Struthio camelus: one gene and its partner. The protein of the gene in region 2 interacts with the protein of the main gene of each other region in a pairwise test. Links are inferred from orthologs where the notes say so. Each region holds a gene or a part of one and is shown on either strand. Other genes may lie near its edges.

Region 1 (7,272 bases), on a different chromosome or scaffold from region 2:
TACATCTCCTTGAATAGAGATAGTTGCATTTTGTCCTCTTTAAGAATCCCTTATAGACTTAAAGACACATGAGAAAATGCTCTATGGAATTGTCTGTCTCCCTGATAAACTTTCTGGAGTGCAAAAATGATTATTAAAGACATTTTGCACCAAAGAGAGCTACAAAGCAACAGAAAACTGAACAGGCACCATAGATCCAGTGAAAGCACATCTGTTGTCTTTCCAAGTAGGAACAGAGGAAATAAGAGCATTTTATTTTGCTAGCTACCACTTCAGAAGTAACGCAATGCACGTCCCTAATTAAAGGAACGAGCACTGAGAGCAGCCATCCAAAATCCCATAGCTAATGGAAATACCAAGAATATACTTGGAGAGCGTAACCAACAGAAGGAAGCTCTGAAAGAGGTAGGTTTAAAACATCTATGTTAACTATCTGAAGTTGAGGGACATGATGTGAATTTGCAACAGTGGAAACAGTTTATCTCTAGCAAAATAAAATACAGGTAAATCTTAATCTGATAGTGAATTTCTCTAACAGTTGTATAGTTCCTGAAGAGAAACCAAAGAATCTCTATAATTAGCAACTGTTAAAATCAGCATTTCTAGAAACTATGCTAGGGATAAGATTAGCTCTAGCAAAAAGATCAGGTTGACTGTGACAATGATTATAGCTGACATTGGAATTCTGCATATAATTCCCAGTGAGGTCAACAAGTATATGTAACGGTTTAAATTGTTGAGTGCTGTGATAACAAAGTGTCAAAGCAGGAGAGTGCTTTAAATGATGGTATACAATTCAGAAAACTGCTGAATGTTTGCACACAATATGAATGTTGAAAATATTTCATCTCATAGAAAAAAATGTAATATTGTTTGCTAGGAAAAGAAAACTATTTCCTATACGAGCAGGTTGCATGTTCATAGTTCTTAATTACTTGTGCATAGCTAAGGCACAACAATAAATGAATTGGAGAAAACTTTCAATTTCTCATTACTAGCACAGCTGAAAAGCATGCTACTTGATTGCTTTAACCGAGTCTGCCAGTATGCTTCACGAGTTCCCTGTAAAATACTAAACGGAGTTCTTTGTGCTCTCCAGCTGTGAGGATCAGGGGTACCTAGGGCCCTGCCCTAGCTATAAGCCTTAAGCATTAATTGGGGACAGGTGGAAGTGACGAAGTAAGAGGAGAAGGTTTCAAGCAGTTCTGAAGGATTAACTGCCCTGTGCTTTCTTCATAGCAGACTGGAAACTTTCCCATGCTATAATTCTGCACAGATCAAGCAGCCCATTAGCAAAGACAAGAAACTGATGTGAATGAATCTACTTTGTTCTCCGTGTGATTTACTAAATTTGGGTTACAAATCACCAAAAGTTTTGCAAGGACAAAAAGTTTTCAAATTATGCTAAAAGAGATTGCTGGGCTTCTCTTACGGCTTAGAGCTGTGCTATTGCTGTATGACTTTTACCAGTCAGTTCTGTCATAATTGCATTCACACTTTTTGTACAAAAGGGCCTGACCTTTCTCGCTAACGTGAATGTCTTGCTGTTAGGACACTCATATCACACAGTGGAGTGCCCGTTTGTGGTTACGTATGTAAAACAAGCGTGTCCGTAGGGATTCAAGTATCTCAATGGGATTTAAACATCATATGAAAGTTCTGCCCCAGAGCCTACCTCTGCATCTGTTGACAGAAAGATTAGTTACTGTCATGGCCAACGTTGCTCTGTCAGACCAGCCAGACCATTCGTTATTAATAGTGAAGGTAAACCCCTGGTAGTACTTGATCTTGCACTTTCTTTTAAAAAACAAAACTACAAGGAGGCATGCTTAGGGTGCTCTGTACAAGACAGCCGCTCTGCTAATGCTCCAGACTGGCTAATTAGGATTCAGGAGCAGTCCAGCATCACCATCTAGACTGCAATTTTAGGAAGGCCTACTAAGACACCAAACTGTGTGAGCAGGGCTGCACAGCTTCCAGGAAAAACATGTCTCATATGCGGACAGTTTTGAAAGTGAGTACAGATCAGGTGCCGACTGTATCCTTCTAGGTACTGGGTAATATTTAGCTTGTCATTGAATGAGAATGGAAAGGGGACAACACATTCATGACTGTCACAAGCCCATGGCAGACAGAGTGTTAGTGCAGGGAACAATTACTTTTCCTCACTCGAAAGCCGTGCAGGATATAAACCAGGATCTGAACACTGTAAAGCGGGTGCTTGTGTAGGCACAAAGTGCACAGCAACTTCTGAACGCCTGTCACGCTCTATTCCCTCCAAGCTTCCTTGGCTGCAGCTCTTAAGACTTCAAACGATTGTCAAACAAGCTGAGAGCTGTTTTGCCAGCAACCGTCCTACCACATCAGAGAAGTGAACGCTCCATGGTCATCTTGCTGTGACATCAGTAACGATCAGTGCAGCGGAAGCCGGGAGGAACCCTATTTTGGGCAACTTCCTGATGCAGTTACGCCGTTACTATGCCCCCATAGGGTGATTTACTAAATATGGTGGAGACGGTGGGAACGAGATCGTACAGAACACGTTTGGGAAGGGATGACCTCAGGGGGAACGAGCCCAGCCCTGCTCGGGTTGGGCTCTTCGTGCGGTGCGCCCAGGCCCAGCCGGATGCTGTCAGCACAAACAAGCACAGCGCTGCCCCCGGGGTCTGCGGCGCAGCGGTCGTGGCGCACTGCTGCGGCAGGAGCCGCGGAAGGGCCTTTTCCCGGGGCACAGCTCTAGCACAGCCGCCTTCGCACACGCGGCGCGGCCTGGCGCCCCCCGCCCCGGCGGCTCCGTGGCGGCGCTCCTCGGCGGGCCTGAGGGGCCGCCCGGGCCCAGCAGCCGCGGGCGAGCCCGGGGCCCGGGTCCGGCTGTCGGGGCCCCGCCGGGCGGCTGCTGCCTCACGCCCGCACCTCGCCGCCGGCGGGGCCGAGCTGAGGCGGCAGCCGGAGGAGGGGGGGAACTTTTACCTCAGCTTCGCCCCGGCGAGCGCTCCCGGCGAGGGGCGGCCGCCGCTAACGCCCCGCCCCGCGCGCGCGCCCCGTCAGCCGCTGCCGGCCCCGCCCCGCCCCCCGTATAAGGCGGCGCGAGGCAGCCGTCGCGCCCGCTGTGGCGTCGGTGCGTGCGCCGCGGCGCGCGGAGCCCCTCAGCCACGGTGAGCGCCGGGGGGGTGGGGAGGGTGCCCGCGGGGGGGGGGCGCCGCTGCCGCCGCTGCCGCGCCGCCTCCTTTCCGCCCCCCCCCCCCGGGGACGTCTGAGGGGCTGCGTGTGGCCGCCGCCCCCTCGGCGGAGCGGCGCGGCGGCGCCCCGCAGGCCCGGAGCGGGGCCGCTGCCCGGCGGAGCGCGGGCGCCGGGCGGGGTCTGGCGCTGCGGCCGGGGGTCGCTGGGAGGCCGGGCGCCGCGCGGGCGGCGCCCTCGGCCCCCCCCCCCCCCCCGAGGCGGGCGCAGGTGCGGGCTCGGAGGGGCCGGAGCTGCCGGCGAGAGTCCTGACTCGATTAAAAGGTCGTAGAAACGGTGCGGGCTGGGGCTGGGGCGGCCCCCCCCCGCGCGGGGCCCTGCGGTCTGGGAGGCTCTCGGGAGCAGAGTATGAAACCCGCTTCGGCGGTGGGAGAAGCGTGTGGGAGCTGTGTAGCTGGCATTAGACAGAGCCGTTAAAAAGAGTGGCGCCTTTCGATTTAACGTTTGTTTAAAACAATTTAATGTTGCCGTTTCAGCAAATTTGCTAATATGTCGGGAATTAAGCTATGACATGGGATGTACGTATACATAGCATGTTACCTCTGATGACTGAAGTTCAGGAGCGATGGTGTCATCTCATCCGGACAGGCTTTTCAGTAGAGCTAGCCGTGGATACAACAAATTATGAATATAAATGAAGAGCGTGACGGCCACTTTTTCTTGTGGTTGCTTCTGTTGAAGCAAGCGTGGCCTGAACACTAGCAACCTCCTCCCAGGCCCACGTAAATTGGGCTGCTTGGCTCAGTGAGGGTTGCAGCACAAACCTGTTTCACTGGCTGCGCTATTGCAAATGTCCGTGAACTCTTGAAATTGTCTGGATGTATCTGGAAAACTCACCAGAGTGCAGCTCTGGCCTCTCTTCATCTTCTGTTCTTCTGTAAAATATTGACTTCCCTGTAATTTAACTTGGTGTAAAGCTTTAAAACTGATTCTTGCTCAACTGTAAGGTACTGCCCTACACCTTGTGTTGGAGCTAATTGCTGTTCTATTTAATGCTATTAGCAATCATATTTGCTTCTAATGTTTCTAAGTGTTGCCCCACTGCTAAGTTGTTTGAATTCTCCCTTCTCTCGGAAGACTGCCCTGGACAGTGAGGCCTATCCATAACCAGTGAGCTGCAGAAAAGCCTCCTTTAGCCTTCTTCCCTTCTCTTTTATTCCCTATCATAAGTATAATAAGGGATGGGGGGGAGGAAACTTGCCCTGAAGGATTCTACTGCTTGGCAGCTCCTTGCTTCTAAAATAACCTTTGACCAAGTCCCAGTTTGTATCATAAAGAACTATCATTAAACTGTAGCTAATTGAGAAGAATGGTGATCTTGCTTTTTTTGAAAGTAAAAAAGCCCTCGTGCAAACGGGTACAGTGAAGTTTGAGCACTCTGTATACCGAAGACCTCTAATGCAGGGTTACGTGGGAGCTATGCGCGCTAGTGTGCCAATGGCGTAATGACAGTTCTGATCTCCCCTGACTTTCTCTTCTCCTGTCTTACACTGGCAGCTAGGATGCTCTTGCAATAAGCTTGCAGTATGCCTCAAAAGTAATATTACTTATGGATTTTGTACAGTTGGTAGCATGCTTATTTTGTCTCTTAAGGATCTTAACGTGGAAGCTTTTTAACGAAGCAATAATCTGACTTTTGTTATTGTGTGGGTTGTTTTGTTTAAGTGAGAAACCTCTTCAGTAGTTTTATTCACGTTTCCCTTCTCCTGGCCCCATTCAACTTTCTGTAGCTGAAATATTGCAATAGAAAGTATATCTCTTATATGCTAATAAGCTATTTCCTTATAAGATACTGGTATTTGCACGTTAAATGTACTGCTGGAGCACTTTGATATGTTTGGGTGAGCTGTACTGGATTTACTTTTGAAGCTTCTTCCTATAGCCTTGGTTTCTAATTTAGCAATAATTCTGCAGAAATGTGCCTACCGGTATTAACTGCAATTAACTTGGCAGCAGAATGCCTGTGACCATGGAAAAAATGGGTTTAGAAACTGTCAAGCCAGCCTTGAGTAGAACTTGCTGCTAGTAGCCTCCTGCAATTTAAACCGGTTTCCTGTTTGTCCTTTTGTTATAGTTTCTGGCTTAATAAAACTAGGGAAAAGTTCTGAGTGGAAGCGGTGCTCATCAAAAACACAAAAACAAAATCCAAAAAACTGTTATTTCTAGAAGAGTGACCTACGGAGCTGATGTTTTCGTTGTCTGATTGCTGTAAGAACTGAGATTAGGCAGTTACCCACCAGTGAATCTGACTAATCTTGCTAACGAGTCTAGAGAGATTTAGCAAGTCTTGCTAATCTTGCTTAGATGTTTACTTTGAGGGAAAGTGGGGCGGGAAAGGAAATGACACTAGAGATGCCACCAAATATAAATGGATGGAGCTATATATTCGAAGGAATTGCTCTCTCAACATCTTATGAAGTGGTGAGTGAAGTCAGTGCTGCGCCTGGTGTGCTTATGAGCTTTCTTAATGCAGGTATGTTTTAAGAACAAAACAGTCCGGAAGCTGGTTGTAAGCTCCTCCAGATGAATTGAAGATCTACAGAATGCAGTATTTCTACAGTCTAGAAAGACTGAAGACTCTGAAGACAGCTTAGTTTTGATTGACTCAATTCCTGGTGGAAAGAGGAGTTTGGAGTTGCATATATAGAAAACAAACAAGCAAAAAAAATTAGAGGCCGCCTTGGTAGCTCTTACTAGTATAGTTACAACGTGCAAGGGTACCACACTTGGGTACAGAATTAGAGCTAAAGTTCTCCTGCAGCCTTAGGTATATAGTGACTTAAAGGCAGAAAAATAGCAAACAAGACTGCATCCGAAGCTGATAAAATAACACTCACTGCTACCATCACAGTTACTACCATGCACCATTAACTAGGTGCTTTTACCATTGTGAAGTTGTACAGATGCTTAATATCTGACTCTATATAGGGTGCTGGCTCCAGACTGCTTGAGTGGGAATACAAGGATATGCCTATGTAAAGATGAACTTCTATGCTTTACCATTGTATCACTGAGAAGTGGGAGCTCAGGGAGCTGTTTTGAGAAAGTGACCTTGAATTTTATCCATCTTTCCTTTTTGTAGAAGGTAAATATCTGTGGACACATTTTTCCAAAAACATGTAGGCTTCCGCTCTCCTATAACTCTGAGCATTAAGTATAGTGTGGTACCAAGATGCGAGGAGCTTTCTGGATAGGAGCTAGAAAGGGCTTCTTGATGCAACCTGATTATCCTGGCAGTATTAATGTGAGATCACACTCCTGTTTCCCTACCTAGAGAAATGGAATTACTTGGATGATGCATCCTAAGGGAGTTGTGCCCTTCTCTCACATCTGAATCTGACCTGGATCCTTTGAATTTTTTATCAAGCCAGAAAGCAGTCAGCTTTAAACAAACTAGAGACCTAAGGATCTGGCCAAGAAAGATAGGGGTCTGTAAGTAGCTGTGTACGCTGAAAATTTGGACCCTTGTTTAATAAGGGTAAATCAGTCTTGTACATCCTGGAGGTCCTAGTTCTCTACCTTGTCATCTCAAAACAAAATCACTTCAGATATAAGAGAGCCTAGCCCAGCTAGAAATAACTTTTATATTATAAACAGAGTGAGCATTCACGTATAACATCCTGCTCAAAGACAAGTCCTGCAACTTTCTGTTGTATTTTTATCTACTGCTGTTAACATCTCAGTCTGCTCAAAAGAGCTTTTCTAGTTAGTTGATTATATTAAATACAAATGACCCTTTAGACCAGAACGATAATTACTTTAAACAAAAATACAATGAGAGCACAACTGTGGCAAAGTCAAAGAATATTAATAAGGCAGAGTTTGCTGCGGAGAGTTTGCTGAAAGGTTTTGGGGGTTATTGAGAGAGGGAACACTGTGCTTAGGGTGGGAAAAGGTTTAACATTAGGACTTGTTCAAAAGGTAGGGGTTGGGTTTAAATTGTCTCACAACTTCATGTAAGCAGTAGCAGTGCTATTAAACAGCAATCGCGCTGTTAAATAGCAGTGTCTAAGAACAGTAAATAAAAATTGAGAG
Region 2 (7,103 bases):
CCCTAGCACCCTAGGATTCAGCAGCAGCAGCTGTTTTACCCAAAGCTTTAGAAAAATGGAATCAAAAGATCAAAACCCATGCATGTGCAGGCTCTCCCTGGTGCACTGCACTGCCCAAGGTGATACCATGTGTGCTCTGCTCTCCCATGAACCCTTCCACTGGGCCTGGGCCACCATCCTGCACCCTGCCCTACCCCTGCATCAGGTGGACACTTTGGTTCATCAGATACTTTTGTCTCTGGGTGTCAGCAAATAGCCCCGTCACTAGGTCACACTTATATTTGTGGTTGTATGATTGTATTTAGGGAAGGCTTAGCAAATGGCCACAGACCTTCCCCGGTGTGGCTTTCCAGGAGATGCGCCCTCCAGGGATGGCTCGCCTCCCCTGGTGGGATCAGCACATTGTGTCTTAGGGTGTCTAAGATGGTGACGGAAGCTCGGACACAGGGTTCGGAGTTCATGTCCAGGGGGAAAAAAGAGAAGGATCTTTGCACAGAGCTCTGTGCCCGTCTGCTCCAGCACAGCCAGCTGGATAACAGAGGAAGGACTGTGGCTTTCTCTATGCCTCTTTTTTCTTGCTGAAACAAGGGGGATCTGTGCTCTCCCTGAGCCTTGTCCAGGCCATGAGAGGGTGAAGAGTGTTGCAACAGCACCCTGGGACTCTCCCAGCTCTGTTTGGGGAGGGAGGGTTGAAAAGGGAGCCTCTAGCTCCCAGTTCTTGAGAACAGAGCCTGTCAAGACCCACAGCCCTCAACAGTCCCTTCTGGCCCCCCTGCTGCCATTCATGTTCCCCTTTGCTTATGGAGCCTTTGGGTCAACTTTGATTGGGATCAAGATGAGAAAGAACGTCCCTGTGGAAAGGGAGCAGCCCTCCATTTGGACTGTTATGGGCAGGGGCCCTGGAGCAGGTGAGCAGCAAGGGAAGGTCGTTCTAAAGAGCCCTGCAGCTAGGGAAAGGACCAGCTCTAGTCCCATCTCCCCACCCCGAGCCAGCACTTGCTGAGTGTCATGTGCTGCTGAGCACTAGGTTGGCCTAGAGGCAACAAGAGAGGGGACCCACAGTTCTTTCCATGTCCCAGCAGATACCAGCCCCAGGGTCTTCGTCCTAAAGAAGATATTCAGGTACAAACATCTCAGGTAGCTACTGAAAGAAAGGATGGTCGCCTTGCTCCACAGCCCAAGCCACCCACCGAGACCTCCTGTCCTATTCCTTTCCATCTCTCCAAACCACTTGACCTAGAGGAAAAGACCTCGCCTCAGGAACAGCCCTCTGCCTTGTGCTCTCCCACAGCATCTCATAGTCTGCCTAAGAGCAAGGCACTTGCTCTCACCAGAAAGTAGTCCCCCAAATTCCTGTAGAGCAGCTGAGCTTGGGCCAGAGCCTGAAAGCACAATCCAGCAGAGCCACTGGATGGATTAAGCCAGCCCGGGGTGGTCTGACTGTCATGGGCTGGATTCCAGCTCCATCCTGTCACAGTTCCTTCCTTGGTGAAGACAGGAGCAGCCAGTAGGAACAGCATGTTGCAGCCCACATCCAGCCACCTTCCTCTGTCCTGCACAGGCTCAGGAAAGGATGGACGCAACTCTGCTCCTCAGGAAGAGGGAGCAGCTAACCCAAGTCACAGCCTTGTGGTTTCTCATCCGAAGGTTAATGAGAACTCAGCCCTCCAGGATCCAGGCTTGCATGCCGGAGGGGTCATGCCAGAGCTGGATGCTTTTGGACACACTGAGGGGTGGGAGAGATAAGTGTATTGGAAGGGCTTTGTGTTCCTTTGTCAAGTGCCCTCCACTCTTCTTTCTTTACTTAATCTCTATTTGGCAATGACGTCATTTCTTCAATTATTAATCACCTTGCTGCAACAGTGACTGAACTAAACCCATTAAACCTCCTCTGGGAGCAGCCCCAAGGAAGGAGGCAGGTTTCCAGAAAGTACATTAGAGAGAAGGCAGACAGGGAGTCGAGACAACCTGGTGTGGGAGGAGATGGCCTTGCTGCACAGTATAGGCCATTTGCCATCCGCTGGGAATTTGATAGCCAAGGCAGGAGCACAAACTAGTGTAAGACATATAGTACAAACAGCCTGTTCACAGGTCCCATTGGCCAGCTACAGAAGGGTGCTTGTTTGGCAAATGTTTCAGCTGAAAAAAAGGTTCAGAAGTGCAGGGAAGAACTGCTTACACAAGAGCTCATGGCATGAGAGCTCTCAATGTGAAGAAATCCCAAATGTTGTTGCCAGATTACCCCCATCACTTTTGGCAGTGGTGGACAGGATGGTTTTGCACAGCTACTCCTTATGTAAAGATGCCGATTTTGTATGACTTGCTTTTAAGAATCCAGGAATTTGGTTAGCACAACCCCAGCACAGCCCCCTTTACCATCATCAGGGATTAACCAGGGAACAGCCTGATAGGGTTTTCAGGCTCTCTGCAAAAATGCTGATTTGTCAGAATTGGGAGATTTTGCAGAAATGTGAAAGTTCTGACAAACATCCTAGTGGGAAAAGCTCCTCTACTGTGGAAGGGGATTCCTGGTCAAAACCGCAAGAGCTGGCCACAGCCAGGTAATCTAGTGATTTGCTGGGCTGAGAGAGGGCAAAGATCAGGCCACAATACAAGTCTCAGATGAGTGAACGGACCAGAGAGACGAACCCAGATCATGTTATCCTAAAGAGCATTTCTGCCACCAATCTCTCAACTGTTCAGGGGAAGTAAAAAACATCTCCTTTTTATCTTTCCTTGTTTTTTGGACAGAAGTAACAATATTTTGCCCATCTGCCAGCGTTACCAGAGAAATGACCTGTCTATTTTCCTTGCTCTGCTCAGCCAGCTGTGTCCACAGCTGCACACGTCTCCCAAGCTCCTTGCCCACAGCTTGGACAAAACAGCACCTATCTCCCCTTGGCAAAGACCCACAGGGCCTTCCTGCACGCTGCTGGTCTCCCTGTCCAAAGCGACACTGACCTGCAAAGGCAAAGGCTAACCTGCAAGAAAACCACCCGAGGCATGCTTCCCTGACATTTCCTCCCTGGTCCCAAGCAGGAATTTGAAGCCACGAATCCAACCTAGATCTTAAGCCAAGCCTGACTAAGACTACTCAGCAGGATAGCGGGAGCACAGTTCACCCCAGCAAAGGTAAGGTGAGGGGGTGGAAGACAGTGCCCTGGAGACATGCACCCCTCGGGCTCCCTGTAAACCATCCCTCCCCGGAGGAGCTGGAACGGCGGGGCCATGCAGGGAGCGCGGCATGCCTCCAAGCGCTTACCTGGTCAGTTTACGCTTTGTGACAAGCTGGTGAGGGGGAGCACGCTGTCCCCTCCCAGGGCAGCCCAGGCCAGGCTAGGGGTATATGAGGGAACCGCGTGGCCTGGTGCCTGGGCAGAGCCCGGGGCAGGGACGGGGCGCAGCAGGCCGGCTGCTGCTGGAGGCTCCCAGCCGCCTGCCCACGGCAGTCCCACCACGCCGGCTCGGCTCGACCCGGCCAGGCCCCCCCCCGGCATCGCGCCAGCTCCAGCCACAGCTCAGAGCCCTTCGGCCCTGGGCCCCCCGCGCCCGGGGCAGCCCCGGGGCCCAGGGCTGGCCAGGCCCCGCCCAGCCCTGCACTGCCCCCGGCCCCCGCCAGGGGGCGCCACGCGCGCCAGCCCACGGGCGCAGCCCGGGGAGTGGCAGCGGGGTGTGAGCGGCAGGCGCCGTGCCCAATCAGAGCAGAGAGGGTAGGGAGGGGCGGGGGCCACGGCTCTAGGGTGGGCACGCTAAACTGGGAGGTGTCAAGAGGCGGGATGGAGGGCGTGGCTCCCGCGGGGAGGCGGGAGTTGGTGTTGAATGCCATCCGCTCGGGCCAGTGAGCTTGCCCGTGCTCCCGTGAAGCTGGCCGCCTGAGCGAGCTCAGGCCGGTCCTCCCGGGAGCTCCGGCCGAGTGGCGTTGGGGGCGGCCAATGACAGCCAGGGGCGGGGCGGAGGGCGGAGCCGCAGGGGAGGAGGCGGGGCGGGTGGGGGCGTGCCCCGCGCGTGAATGGCGGGTGGGCGGGCCAATGGCGCGGGGTCCGGCCAGCGGCGGCGCCGAGCGGAGCGGTTGCGAGGGCGCGGCACGGCGGGGCCGGAGCGGGCGGCGGGCGCAGTGGGGCCATGGACCGCGTGAGCAGCTCCATGAAGCAGGTGTCCAACCCGCTGCCTAAGGTGCTGAGCCGGCGGGCGGGCGGCGGCGGCCTGGAGGCGGAGCGCGAGAGCTTCGAGCGCACGCAGGTACCGCGCGGGGCGGCGGCGGCGGGCGGGGCTGGCCCAAGCGGGCGATGCCGACCCAGGTGGGTGAGGCCCCCTGGGTGGGCGGGGCTTGCCGCGGGTGGGCGGGGCTGCCGCGGGTGGGGCTGGCCCAGGTGGTCGGAGCTGGCTTGACTGGGTGGGGCCGAGGTGGGCGGAGCTGTTCGAAGTGGGTGGGGCCGACCTGGGAGGGTGGAGCCAGCCGGGCCCAGGGGGCTGCGTGGGGGCGCCCGGACGACGGGTGTGCTGGGCACGGCACGGCAGTGGTGTCCTTGGCCCAGCGCCTCTGTGGGCGCGTGGTCTGTCCCAGCTGACGGCGCCTCCCAGGGGGCCAGGGAGACTGGCCCTGCACCCCAGGTGTCTGGCGCTGGCCGTCTTCGTGGCCGCTGAGGGAGCAAAACGTGCGAGCTCCACCTGTGCGCCCAGGAGTTCAGCCGCCGAGCCCGGGCAGGGCGCAAGCTCGGCCCGTGGGGCCGGGAGTTGTGCCCGTGCCGGTGCTGCCTCGGCCTTGTGTGCTCGGGGGCTTGGATCGTGTTCTCCATGAACGCCCTTAGCGCTGCAAGAGCCTCTTTGTTGTTTAGGCTGGAGACAGGCACCGCAAGCGGGTTTAGTGACCGTGCTAGGTGTTTGTTATCTTGGAGGGACCCGCCGTGGTGCTCGCAGGCACCTGCCCAAACCGTCCTGTTGGTGTAGAAAGGGAGGGTGCAGGCTGCAGGGACAGCCCTAGGACAGGCCCTAGGGGCCTTTATGTGGCTCCTAGGAAAAGGCAGGTGATGTGTTTAAAAGAAGACATGGTTTTTTTCACCATCAGCTTCCAGAGCATATGTTTAGAGTTGAGGCAGTTTGAGGGCCTTTTTATATTTCACCTATGCTTCCTGTCATAGGGTGGCTCAGATCCTATCTGCCCGTCTGCTGGGAGTATTTGGTTCAGTAGCTTGCACTTTCCAGAACTCATTAGGAGACTCAAGGCTGAAGGATTCATGCGCCTGCTGCTTCTGTAATGTTCTTACTTAAACATTTAGATTCGTACAAAACACTAACATAAAAGCCACTTTTCTCTGGTTCTTCCTGGGGGCGTGCGTGTGCAGAATGTGCACTTTGTCTTGCACAGAAGGGCTAGTGTTGGCCGGGCTTGCTGGTCAGCTGCGTATGGGTTGTGCCATTGCCCCAGCGCATTGTTATTTGCTTTGGGATCTTTTGTATCTTATGCAACTCTATAATTGTATATGGTAAATAACCCTCTGCCTTGCAGAGCTTGTGGCTCTGGAGTTGGGAGCGAGACAATCCTTCAAATGCAGCACGGAGTGGAGTGCGCCCCTTTGCCTGGGAGTGCCCATGGGATGGGGGGGGGCTGCGGGCAGGAGGTGGGGAGGGGGCACGTGGGCGCTTTGGGGGAAAAGCGGGCAGTTTCAGGGAAAGGAGATGCTTGAAAGGATTGTGTATGTAAATGTAATGGAAACGGGAAGCAGGGCTGGGGACAGCATGCCTCTGTTCTGCACTTTGTGAAATCATAGAAAGTAAATGCATATTGGTGCCATTTTGATGGCACTAATGATCTACTAACATTTTACTCCCACTCTACAGTCACTGCTGTAAGCGAATGTGGGAGGTGTGAGGAAGCAAAGAATCTGGCCCCTCAAGGGGAAGAGGAAGTAAAACTAAGGCAGGAAAGGAGTAGAGGTGGTTCAGGAAGGGGTTAGATGGCTCTGAGGGTGGAGAAGAGGAGGCTATATGACCTGGAAAGACACAGATAAAGCTGGCATCCCACGCAAGGCTATAGCACTGCTGAGTGGGAATGGCGTGTGGCTTAATGGCTAGGTGGTAAAGAACAAGGATCAACTCTGAGTTTTTTACAGAAAGAGAAACAAGAAGATTTAAGGTTGAACGTGCAGTTATGCATAGGGAGCCTTCTCATGTTCCTTGCTTAAATTACCCAGAAAATTAATTATTTATAGTGCTAAAGGTGGAACTAGGACTAGTTTTGAACTCTAAAGGCAGTGCGTGCAGTTGTCTGCCTTCTTAAGCGCTGACAGCCCTTTGACAGGATAAGGAAACAGCAAAAGCCTCTTCATTTTGGAGTTGAACAGTCTTCCTGCAACTAACAAGGAACAGCAAGTCCCATTTGTCAGTAAATGACCCCATGCTGCATGGGCTAATGGGATCTCCACTTCAAAGACGCAGTGTATTCCCTCGGGACCCTCGGGAGCCTTTGCTTCCCACCCAGAAGGTGATAATTAGGAGAGGGCTAACAGTTTGGCTGCGGGGAGCAGCGTTCGCGGCACAGCACCCGAGGACTGGACTGAGTGCCAGCAGCACCGCAGTCTTTGCAAAGCTTGGAACATCCATACGATCTAAATTTAATTTTCCCGTGTAATTTGCAGACAAGTGACACAGCATGTGTTTCTAGGAGGTGCTATCCCGGCACCACCTGTCTCTCCTGAAATGCTAGCTCAGTCTCTTCAGGTCTTTTATTTCTTCAGCTTCAATGTATTCAGCTCTGAGCAATTTCCTGTCTTTTACCTTCATTTTTTGCCTATTTCCCTCCAGTTTAAGGAACTTGCCAGGCCCCCCTCTGATCTTGCACACATTGGGCATCCACAATTTGAAACTAATTTCTTTAGCTTTTTTTTAAATAAAATCTAATGTTTCTTTATTTGGAAATGATTTTTTTCACAAAAGTTTCTTCTCTTAAAGGATTTCTAAAATGAGGATTTTTCTTGTATTTCCTTATGCACAAGCTCCTTCCCTCCTTCCCTCCAAACCTGCCTGTCTCATAACAGTAGAGCCCTGGTGAGGAAGAATATTCTGGCTAAAGGATCCTCCACGTGCAGAAGACATGTCAAAATGGG

The links.
Region 1: the proteins of HIP1 (region 2) and LITAF interact in binary tests that used the Homo sapiens proteins (3 or more experiments, as listed by UniProt). The link is inferred for Struthio camelus from reciprocal best matches to the Homo sapiens genes HIP1 and LITAF.

What each region holds. Positions count from the first base shown.
Region 1 is NC_090956.1:12,990,063-12,997,334, reverse strand, and holds the start of LITAF (lipopolysaccharide-induced tumor necrosis factor-alpha factor), read right to left. Parts: upstream 3,049-7,272; 5' UTR 2,971-3,048; intron 1-2,970.
Region 2 is NC_090957.1:9,397,386-9,404,488, reverse strand, and holds the start of HIP1 (huntingtin-interacting protein 1), read left to right. Parts: upstream 1-4,045; 5' UTR 4,046-4,122; coding exon 4,123-4,239; intron 4,240-7,103. UniProt on the Homo sapiens protein: Plays a role in clathrin-mediated endocytosis and trafficking. Involved in regulating AMPA receptor trafficking in the central nervous system in an NMDA-dependent manner. Regulates presynaptic nerve terminal activity.